Caenorhabditis elegans: one gene and its partner. The protein of the gene in region 1 interacts with the protein of each later gene in a pairwise test. Each region holds a gene or a part of one and is shown on either strand. Other genes may lie near its edges.

What was found. Proteins that work in one complex are often made in the same cells at the same time.
Region 2: the proteins of rabx-5 (region 1) and rab-5 interact in a two-hybrid assay, tested with the Caenorhabditis elegans proteins (one study listed by BioGRID).

What each region holds. Positions count from the first base shown.
Region 1 is NC_003281.10:10,603,485-10,611,383, reverse strand, and holds the start of rabx-5 (Rab5 GDP/GTP exchange factor), read right to left. Parts: upstream 6,015-7,899; coding exon 5,952-6,014; intron 5,773-5,951; coding exon 5,657-5,772; intron 5,336-5,656; coding exon 5,235-5,335; intron 5,141-5,234; coding exon 5,089-5,140; intron 1,385-5,088; coding exon 828-1,384; intron 203-827; coding exon 65-202; intron 1-64. Other genes in the region: Y39A1A.2 (Reverse transcriptase domain-containing protein), read left to right, coding at 7,835-7,885.
Region 2 is NC_003279.8:9,306,448-9,310,723, reverse strand, and holds rab-5 (small monomeric GTPase), read right to left. Parts: upstream 2,283-4,276; 5' UTR 2,280-2,282; coding exon 2,189-2,279; intron 1,893-2,188; coding exon 1,804-1,892; intron 1,601-1,803; coding exon 1,289-1,600; intron 1,089-1,288; coding exon 954-1,088; 3' UTR 503-953; downstream 1-502. Other genes in the region: uev-3 (Ubiquitin-conjugating enzyme E2 variant 3), read right to left, coding at 335-395; nmat-2 (Nicotinamide/nicotinic acid mononucleotide adenylyltransferase 2), read left to right, coding at 3,905-3,976, 4,024-4,133, 4,178-4,276.

The DNA of each region.
Region 1 (7,899 bases):
GAATCTAGTTTTTTCTATAAAAATTTTTTTTCGAGAATTTTGGATGCTTAATTCAAATATTCACCAGCTTCTCCACTCATAAGCCTCGCTGGAATTGCAAATCTTGATATAAATTTGACATTTGATTGAATTAACGGCGGATTTCCACGGAATAAAACGTATATTAGTGTTGGCAGGAATTCGTCAGCCGATGTTGAAGCTTCTGAAAATTTTTGATTTTTGAAACAGGTGATTTTTTTTTGGTCTTTTGGGATTGAATTCATAAATATTTGGCTTTCTTGGAATTTTTTTCGGAAAATTCGTTCAGAAATTTTTTAAAAATCTGTTATTAAACTATTTCGATGAAATTTTACTCTTTTTTTTTCAAATTCCACTAACTTATTGTTAGGAAATACATTTTAAAAACAAAAAACCGGATTTTTGAAGTTTTTCGGCGAATTTTTTGATTGAAATTTTTTTTCCAATTTAATTTCCAATTTTTCCAATTCCAATAAAGTCCAGGAAATTTGTACGAAATTATGTTTGATGCTGAAAAAAAATTTATTTAAATAGAAAAAAACTTAAATTTCGTCAAAATTCCAAATGTTAAAAAAATATATATTTTTCCAAATTTTTTTTTCAAATTTCATGTATTTGAAATAATTTTAATTTGAAAAATTTAAAAAATTGAATAAAAAAGTTGTCTGAAAACTGGAAATTATACACTTTTTAAATAGAAAATAATTTCTTTTTTTTTCAGAAAAATAAACCGATTTTTCTGTTTTTTTTTTGTTGATATTTATCATTAAAATTTTTATAAATCTGTTCCAGATAAAATAAAAACTCACCACTCTCCTTAAGCGCCTCAAAAATCGCCTTACAAGATTTCGTCAAACAATCAAGCTTCTCAAATGCAGATCGTTTTGCATTAATCTCAATAAGTTCCGAAATAGCTTCATCAATTTTATCTCGAACCGTTTGTTTCTTAAAAACCATCTTAGTTTCCAGAAATCCAGCAGTAACCCAGTGAAGTGATCGAATACGGTCTTGCAACGACATATCAGCTACTTCTTCTTCATGATTTGCACAAAAGAATATTGAATAACAAAATGTTGATATATACTTTTCCACTTGGTCCATCACATCTTCCACTTTAACTTTACAATCCGGTGAATCAAATAACGAATGTCCACCGATTCGTTCTCCAAGATATTGATAATAACTCATTACAAGTTCTGACATATCATCTGAGCTCATTCTCATTTCTGAGATCTTATTCACCGCGTTTTTCACTGAACGAGCAATTTCTTGAGCCATTCCTGTTGAGAGATTCGCTACGAGAAAATCGGTGAATTGTTGACGGGCTTCCAGAGAATCCGGGGAGAGTTCTCGACGTCTGGAATGACTTTTATTTGGTTTACTTTGAAATTCAATTTGAAATGTTTGATATAACAAATTTGATAAAACAATTTAAGATTTCGCAGAGGTTAAATTAAAACAACTATTTTTTTTAATATAACAAATTTTTATTTTTGACTGAGTTTTTGATTTTTGAAACATGTGATCTTCTCGGTCGTTTGGTATTGAATTCATAAATATTTAATTTTCTTGATTTTTTTGATTTTTAAATGTAAAAAAAAACGGTTTTTATTATTGAAATACATTTCTGACGTCACAGCCGTATTAAAATACATGTTTGTATGTTATTTAATACAGTTGTGACATAATTTTTCTACACTTTTCAATTTTTGACACTATTTGTATAACCACATTTGTTTTTACTTTTTAAACGATTTCAGAGAAGTTTTCAGAAATTTCAGAATTCCAAGAATTTTAACAATAATCTAGGCTGATTTCAGACTTTAAAGGACATTTTCAGAGGCTTCTAGTAAATATTTCGTTTCAAACAAATTCCCATAATTTCCAAATTTTCTGAACATTTTTTCATGATTCTAAAAAATATTTTTAGAAAACTTCACATAATCCTTTATACTGTTTCAGACTATGCAAACAATTATTTTTGAAAATTTCAGATATTTACATTTATGATTTATATTTTACAGAATATGAATTTATACATTACAAAAAAATAAAATAAGCCGTTGATATTTAATTTCGGTATTTTTTATTTGCTTCGATTATTTGGGATATCTATTTTGGATAGTTAAACACCCGTTTATTGAACTTAGAATTTTTTTTATCATTTGGAAAATATCAGTAGGTTCTATTTATATCAGAGGTGGGCGGATATTTTTTCGGATATTTTCTAATAATGAATTTATCAATAAGTATTGATGTAGTTATTCTGGAAGAAATGTATCCGAACAAAAGAGTAACTATTAAGCAACATTTTAATATGATAAAACCTAGAAAAATTCTACAAGTTTTCTGTATAAACGATATGCAAGTCCATTATCCGATATCCGTAATATCCGTAATATCCGATATCCGATGTTGCTCGGCTAATAAGTTTTAAGGTCTCGGTAAGGAAAACTTGTAGAATTTTTCTAGGGATTATCATATTAAATGTTGCTTAATAGTTACTCTTTGGTTCGGATACATGTCTTCCAGAATAACTACATCGATACTTATTGATAAATTCATTATTAGAAAATATCCGAAAAAATATCCGCCCACCTCTGATTGGTATTTAATGATTTGAGAAATGCTGTAAATTTCTAAAGTCCAAATTTTTTGAAAATTTGCCATTTTCCCCCAGTTTTACTAATTTTTTTACTATTTGAAGCTACTTTAATTTCCCAAATTCCAGAAATAACGAATTCTTTTTTCAAATTGTCAATTTCAATTAATAGAAACTACTCTATTATGCCATGCAAATTTCATCTGAATATGCACTTTTCTTTTGTCCCACGAGTGGTGAGCACAATGACTAACCAAGTAGTTCATGTACTTTTCAGGAACAGAAGCAAAAAGTGTGCTCTCTCCGTGTCTTTCCAAGCTCGGCGAGCTCCTCTCAATTACATTTTCTTTTTTTTCTTCTTTAGGAGAGAAGCTGCTCTCGAAAACAAGGAGAACGTGTCAACGAGAAATGGAAAAAGGAAAAAGAATTCTCAGAATTGTTAGACAAATGAGTCAGTGATTAATTAGTTATTCATTCACAAGAAAGTTGAACTTTTTCTTTCAGACAAACATGTTCTTTGATATAATATTATGTGGCGATATGAATTTTTTATTACTTCCTGGAAACCGAAAAACACTGTTAGAAAATTTTTCCTTTTTTTTTCGATTTTTCTCAAAATAAAACCGAAAACTCGAAAAAAAAAATTGGTGTCAAATTTGCTCAAAAAAGGTGCAATTTTTTTGAATGAGAAATGCCAATTTTGGAGTGGTTTTAGGATTTTTTTTTGGGTTCTGCCAAATACGAAAATTGTTTGTATTTCGGTTTTGATTTAAAAATTCGAAATAAAAAACTTTTTTATCCTAAAGTCCTATAAAAATCGATTTTTTTCCACAAAAAATTGACTCCAAATCTAGTTAAAATAGCTAAAAATTTAATATTAAAAATCATAATAATTAATTTTTTTAGTCAATTCAAAAGTTATGCTTACTATTAGGGTTTTTTATACAATTTTGATCAGAAAGAGGTTCAAAAAAATTGATTACAAAATTGAACTTTATCTTAGAAATGAGATTTCAGGTACATATTAATACGAATTTTTTGAAAAATTGTTCTATACTTAGTGCTCTAGAAACCTCAATTATAGGCTAAAATTCTACTTTTAAAGTCAATTTTCCAGTGAAATTAGATGAAAATTACAGGTAATTTTAGAACAAAAAAACTCTGAAAAGCTTTAGAAAATTCAAAACTTCAGTTTGAAACTTGAATTTTCAGCAATATTCTCTAGGTTTTGAGCTAATTTTTGGTAATTTCCGCACTTTCAGACTGCTCTAAAAGCATTTTCTCTGATTTTTGCATTGAAAATCCCCCTAAAAACCCCATTTTCCAACTGAAAAAAGTCTCAAAAGATCGAAATCTAAGTGCCCTTAGAATGTAGTTCTCTCCTTCTTCTTACGCACCACTTCTCATTTTGTATTCGGTCACGCAGACAGAGAAAGAGGGGAGATTATACATCTAAAATTGCTCGTTTTGAACTCAAATTTTTCAGAAATTAATGTTCTTAGAATATATTTTCTTCTAGAAAATATAGCGTAGTGACTGAAAAAGGAATTGAACAAATTGCATATATATTTTTTCAATTTTGCAAAAAAAAAATCAAGCCATGTTTGAATTCCCAGGCAAACGTTGTTTCGAACTATACAGTTTTCAAAAATTGACCGATAATTTAAAACTGTTTTTCAAAATTGCAAATTTATGAAAAATTCTACTTTTTAAAGCATTTTTTTAAATTTCGAGAATATGTTTTATAAACCTTTCAAAATGAATTTCCAGGGTTTTTCAAACATTTTTCAGTCATTTTCAGACTTTTCCCTCTTTTTTTCCCAAATCAAATCACAAAAAATAACTCTCTATTCCCGTCCGACTAAAGCTCATCGTCTATTCGTATAGAGAAAAAAGTGGCAGAGATGCATAAATATATACACAGCAGCTGTATATAGAATAACAACTCTATCGTAAACAAAAAACAACAACAACCACTAATTCTCAGATTTTTTGCCCACTTTTTGACAGAAATTGGCCTAAATTTTAGAGTCCAAAAACTGGTAAAATTGCGGAAAAAAAGATATTTTAGAAAAAAAAACTTTAATAATCTTGAATCCAAAAACATCTTTTACGTCTAAAATAACCTAAATATGCTCGAAATCGCGGAAAAATTGGTTTTTGTTTTGCAGACAACGGCCTCAAAACTGGAAAAATAGTAGAAAATTGTTGAAAATTTGTCTGAAATCCTCAAAAAAAAATCTGAATTTTTATCTAAAATCACCCGAAAATCGGTTAAAATCACTTTTCCTGAATATTTTGTTTTAAAAAAAACTCGAAATTATTGAAAATTGGCTTTGAAAATTACAAAATCACTCGAAAACCAGTGAAAAGGTCTATAATTTGCTTTAAAATTTGAAAAAATCAACAGAACTTTTTTAAACCACCTAAAATTTTTTTTTATACTATAAAATTTCTTAAAAACCCACCGAGTTGGTGTGCTCGCCGGTGACGTGGAAGTTGGTGAACTGGTTCCGCCTTCTGAAAAATAGCAAATTTTAAAACTTTTTTCAAAAAAAAAATCTGTGGCCGAGTTTTTCTTTTCACGGCCACGTAGCAAAATCCCCACACTTACCTGGAATCGGAGACGTTTTAAACAGATTTTTGATGCCACGTGACTTGCTTTCTGTTGTCGATTTACGCCGCTCTTGGAATTGATCGAAACTTAGAAGAGATCTGGAAAAAAGGGATATTTGAGCGGAAAATTAGGTTTTTTTTTTTCTGAAATTTGAAAATTTTTTTTTCGAATTTTCAGCGATTTTTTCTTGGAATTTCAGGGGTTTTTTATTTTTATTTTAACGATATTTTTCTGAAATTTCCACGAATTTTCTTGGAATTTCAGGTTTTTTCTGAGATTTTAGATTTTTTCCTTATATTTCAAGGTATTTTCGTGGAATTATGAAATTTTTTTTTTAATTTTAGAGTTTTTTTTTTTGGAATTTTTCTTTAAAAAAGTATTCAAAATTCGAATTTAGGCATTTTTTTTCAATTTTTTACCTATTCTTCGCAAAATCCTGACATTTTTTCATCTCATTCTGATGAGCTCTCCAACATTTTGAGCAACGATTCTCCCACTGTGGGGTCCCGTAGAATCCGCATCCATTGACACATAACTGCAAAAAGAAATTGATTTTTATTCAAAAATGAATATAAACGATGCTCCGATATTCCGCCTTTAAAAATTGGGTTACTGTAATTTCAAAAAATCTTGATTTTTTAAATTTTCATTTATTTTTTTTATTTTTTCAGGAAAAATTAATATTGGAAATTTTAAAAATAGGAAAAAACTCACTAAATCATTAGCTTTTAAATGCATTTTTGCTTTCTTGTCCTCCTCGCCATGCTTATCTGACATTACTTTGTGGGGTGTTTGAAACTGAAAAATTTTTAATTTTTTCATGAAGAAAAAAACAATTTTAAAAATGAGAATTAAGGGTCGAAGAAAATATAAAACTACAGTTCAAATTAAAGAAAAAATAATTTTAACACAATTATTTTTCGAAAAATCACACAAAAATTGAAAATTTCGAAAAAAACTGACTTTAGAGATTTTGCGAAAGCTTATTAATTATTTTTTAAAAAATCTGATGTTTCAGATTAAAAAAAAATTAAAATTAGTTGAAAAATTGGATTTTTTTGATTTTCCAATTTTTTTCAATTGTATTTATTTTAAAAGTAAATTAAAAAAAACATTTTTTCCTTAAAATTTATAAATTATCTGAAATTTCTGAAGCTGAATTTCTAATCTAAATTTGAATTGAAGGAAAATGATAATAATAAATTCTAGACTAATAAAACATTACATCTTCGGCAAAAAAAATAAATTAAAGAGGTTTTTGAGCCAATTTATTTTAAATTATCCAACTTTTCAGTCCAATTTTCAGTGAAAATTCAATTTTTAATCAAATCAAGTTTTTGGAAGTAAAAAAAAATAAATTTAAACATAAAATCTAGAATTTCTGTCAATTTTTAATTAAAAATCGACCAAAAACCAAGAAAAATGGACCCAGGAGGGTTCTATTGGTGCTAAAGTTGTCCCCGTCTGGCAGGGAAACTCAAGCCGAAGATGGAGGAGGGCTCTACGCGGTCACAAGTTCGCTTCTCTGCGTCTTCACACTCTCATCCTCGATTACTCAGTCTTCATGGAAGCTCCGCCTCCATCGTGCTTTGAAAGCTGGAAACAGCTGCTCGTTCTGAAAAGATCGAGAGGACATACTCGGAAATCCGATTTTTTCGGAAATTGGTTTTCAGAGCGTGCCACCAGCCATGAACTTTTGAATACATACACAATCTGGGGGAATTGTTAGAACGAATACAATGAAAATTTCCTGGAAAATGGGGATTTCCATGTGGATCAATCAAAATTTTGAAGAAAAAAAGCTAGTTTTCGAAGAAATTTTTTGTTTTTGTGTTTGCCCATCAAATTCAACTTATTTCGGAGTTTCCACCAAATTTTACAGGATTTTTCTTTCAAATTTGCAAAAAAAAGTTACATTTTTTAGCAAAAAACTATTTTTTGTTTAAATTGTTCTGCGCATTTTTTAAATCTTATTTTAGAGATTTTTTCTCGGATTACAAAATTGATTTATTACGGTAACACAAAATTCTGAGAATGCGTATTACACAGAACATCTGCCGCGCAAAATATCTCGAAGCGAAAACTACGGTAGTTCTTTAAATGACTACAGTAGCACTTGTGTCGATTTACGGGCTAGATTTTTGTAATGAATTTATTTATCGATAGAACATTTTTTTAAAAAGCAAAAAAATGAGACTATTATCCGAAGAAATATTCGAAAAGAAATTCATATCAAAAAATCGAAAAAAACTAATTTTTCGATATGAATTTGTTTTCAAATATTTCATCGGATAATAGTCTCATTTTTTTGCTTTTTAAATAAATGTTCTATCGATAAATAAATTCATTACAAAAATCGAGCCCGTAAATCGACACAAGTGCTACTGTAGTCATTTAAAGAACTACCGTAGTTTTCGCTTCGAGATATTTTGCGAGTCAGATGTTCTGTGTAATACGCATTCTCAGAATTTTTTAATACCCGTAAAAATTCCTAAAAATAATTACGTGGGGATTTATCGATTAAAAAAATTCAAAACTTTTGACGTGGTGTTTTTAAGTGAAAAACCGTAAAATTGAATTATTTCAATATTTTCAAAATGAGCAGCGAAGGATCGATTGTTCCTATCAAACTTGCACAACGATTTATTGTAAGAATTTTTTT
Region 2 (4,276 bases), on another chromosome or scaffold:
GAAAGTTTGATTTAAAAAGCTAAAATTGATGACAAAAATTACAGAACTATTTTCTTTGTGTTTTTTCACTACAGGCACGGTACCCGGTCTCGACACGACAAATTATTGTTAAATATAAAAAGGTGCGCGCCTTTAAAGAGTACTGTAGTTTCAAATAATTTTCCATACTTTTTCATTGCTTTTCGAAAAAAAAATCAGATACATATTTAAAAAATGAATGTAAAAATTTAAAAAAATTAAAAAATCTCAGATGATTTTGTATATTTTAAAGTAAATTTATTTAATTTTTAAATTTAACTTTCTTTTGAATTCAATTGATTTGAAAAGCATTTACTTTTTGTGGGCGTTGGTTCTGCTCGAAGAGGCGGTCTACTTGTTCCAGGTTGATCGGACATTTGTATTCTTCAAATAATTCTCACCTTGTTGTTTTTCAGAAAATTGAATTCAATATCTAATATCGATCGTATACGAAGGGTTTTGTGTTACCAAGTATATACATTTTCGAACTTCAATTTATTCGGATAGATTCTGAAAGGATGCTATAAAATTTTGAAAAAAAATTGACAAAAAGGTGGTGAAACTTTGACGAGAAAAGTACTAACAGTGGGATGGTGGGGTTCGGGACTTGGATGTTGATGGTGAGAAGCAATAAATAATTGGAACATTTGAATGAAAAAATGGGAGTTTTCGCATATAAAAAGCAAATGGGCAGAGCCAATTGTGCAAGCTCATTCACTGGCTGAACATTAGTCAGAAATATACAAAAAATGAGAAAATATGGGTTAAAAGAGTGAAAATAAATAAAGAAAGCGAGCACAAAAAACTTGTTCAAAAGTGTTTTTTTTTCGAGGGGAAAACAATGACGACGATCACAGGCGTTGGATTCAAAAGATATATAGAACAAAAGAGGAGCGGAGCTAGAAGGGTTGATGGTACATGAAAAAGTCGTCAATTTATTTACAGCATGAACCCTTTTGTTGCTGTTGTGGTTGGTTCATATCGACAGTTCCCGTTGGTTCACCCTGTGCTGGTCCGATTGGCAACTTTTTAGCTATTGCCATGAAAATATCGTTCACGTTCATTGAGGTCTGTAATTAAATAAATAGAGAATTGATTTTAAATTGGAAATCTTAAATTTCTCATTCATTTTTTAATGGAGATTAGTTCAAAAACTATCTTCGCAGAAAACAAAGTTTATTGTTATTTTTAATAACAATTTTAGTTTTTGATCTATTTCAGTACTCTGTTAACATGTTTTTATTGTCAAAATCCAAATTTTCTAATGTACCTTCGCAGATGTCTCCATGAACAAGAGAGCATTGTCCTCAGCATAAGCATTAGCTTCTTCATACTCAACAGTTCGCTTATTGGCAACATCAGCCTTGTTTCCAGCCAATGCCATCACAATATTTGGAGATGCCTGTCGCTGCAGTTCTTTTACCCAATTTTTCGCTTTTTGGAAAGATTCTTGATTGGTAATATCGTAGACAACAATAGCCGCTTGAGCTCCTCGATAGTACATTGGTGCCAATGAATGATATCTTTCTTGTCCTGCAGTATCCCAGATTTCGAATTTAATTGTTGCATCGTCAAGGCACACCTGAAATTTCGAAAATTCAATTCTTAATTATTAACGTTTTTACGTCTTTCAATATAAAATCCGTGTTTTTCGAGCAAAAATCTCCGCAATTATATTATTAAAAAACAATATATTATTAAAATTCGAGATTTTTCATTTTAGTCAAAATTTTTGTTCAAATTAGGGAAAATTGTTATATTTTCACAAAAAATTCAAAAACTCACAGTTTGAGTGAGGAACGCAGCACCTATAGTCGACTCCTGATACTCGTGAAATTGTCCCTTGACGAATCGCAATACGAGAGATGATTTGCCTGAAATGATAGTTTTCTGTGATGTTTAGGTGAAATAAGAGAGCATATACGTCATATGCTAGCAACTATCAGATGACCCATAATTCTAAACATATAAACAATCAAAAGACGAAGAATTAAACTTCGAAATCAACGCAATTTCGAAATTTTGTGACGGTTTTCAGCAACTGCGAAATATGCTACAGACAGAACGGAGTAGAATAAAAAAATCTTTATTTTTTGGAAAACTGTTCTTGTTTGCTTTTATTTTCTACTCCAACCTTTAGCGGTTTTTTCCATTTTCAGTATCAACTCACCTACAGCACTTTCTCCGAGAAGAACGAGTTTGAACTGGCACGTTCTGTTTGGACCTCCAGGCCGGGCGGTTCCTGCGTTTCGGGCGGCCATTTTCTAAATACAAATTTGTTGAATTTATTACATTAAAAATCGATCGAATAAATTACAAGCAAAAAATAAGCATAATTTCACATAGGAAACGATATGAGGGAGGATTCAGCTGAAAAAATATCAAAATGGTTTCAAAGAGAAATAATGTTGCATTTTTCTTTCCAGAAAGAACAAAAAAAATAATGTTCGACTAAAATTCTATATCTCAATTCTCATTGATAAAACAATTTTGAATCCCTGAAATTTCTAGAAAAATTTCTAAAAATCCTTGTACTTAAAAAGTGGAAAAATTGATTTGAAATGAGCAATTTCCGAAAAAGATTGAAGGCACGCGAGAGACTGAAGAGTGGTAAACAAGCGTATTATTGATTCATACGGGTGTCTCACGAGGAACGAAATTGTGATGAAATCGATAAAGAAATACGGGTTTTGATCACTATTTTCATCAATTCAGTTTGCTTATCTCTGCATATTATTCATCACGTGTAATTTGATTAATTGATAAACTTTTTTCTCAAGTTTTGATGAAGTTTGAGATTAAAATTAGTTTTCTGGAAGCATCCAAAAGTAGTGAACGAATTAAATTGCAGGATATATGAAAATCAATAAAACTAAAAAAAAGAAATATTTGCGCAACAGACATCGATGACACACACGGGCTTCGTCGGGGGTAGCCAATTTGGCTGCGTACCTTCTGGGGTGGTGACGGGCGCAGTTGACTGAGTATTCAATGTTTGTGTGACATCGCAGACAGTTAGACAAAAATGGATGAAAACGGGAGGAGGCTTTTCGGTGCGCGCGCTTTCGAATTTATATTTTTTCGCGCTAGGCCAATTTTACATTTTTGATGAAAATTATTTTTCATTTCGAAAAACTTTTATTTTCCGGTAATTTTTGGCTAAATTTAAAAAAAACGCGCAAAATTAAGCGGAAAAAGTGTGAAATAATAGAGACCCGAAGAACTCGGGGGATGTCCAACTGGGGGGATTACCAACTCGGGGATTGGCCCCGCCTACAGAACCGTGGCTTGCAATACGCCTATTTCTGCAACTGCCGCACGGTTTTAAAACTGTATTTTTCTCAATAGAGCGAGAAATAACAAGAAAAAATAATTTTAAAACCGTGCGGCAGTTGCAGAAATGGGCGTATTGCAAGCCACGGTTCTGTGGGCGGGGCCAATCCCCCGAGTTGGTAATCCCCCCAATTGGACATCCCCCGAGTTCTTCGGGTCTCAAATAATATTCAAGAAAATTCAAAAGAGACTACTGTAGCTGAGTCGTTGCGAGACAACTTTTTTTGTTTGAGCCATGTCCCTTTAAGAGTAAACTGTATTAGAATGTTTTCACATTAAAATTCTCATTTTAAATTTGTTTCATGCTTAATTTTAATATTTCCCAATCATAAAAATTTGTCGATTTTGTGAATAAAAGGTTCAATAAATAAGAAATTTCCTAAACGTATCCTGATTTTCCACCTGACTTGCATTTTTTGACACACTTTTAAAAAAAATTTTTCGTTTCTGATCACTCTCGATATTTTTCATATTTTTTCAAAAACGTTTCGTTCTAAATAGCTCAGAAGAAAACAAAATATTTTTCAGTTTCAATAAATATTGTGATAAAACGATGAAACGAGTCGCTCTTCTTGCCGTCGGGTCGTTCAATCCACCAACAATTGCACATTTACGTATGCTTGAGGTAATCAAATAAAAAAAACATTAAATGTATGATATATGAATTTTCAGGTCGCCAGGTCACATCTCGAAACGATTAATACACAAGTTGTTGAAGGAATAATGAGTCCCGTTGCTGATTCATACAACAATAAACCAACGCTTATAAAATCTAATTTTCGGTAGAAAAAGTTTTTAAGACTTGATAAAAAATGTTCTAATTCAGCATTCAAATGGTTCGAGCCGCCACAAAAAGTTCTGATTGGATACGAGCCGATGACTGGGAATGTACTCGAACCACGTGGACAAGGACAATTGATGTTCT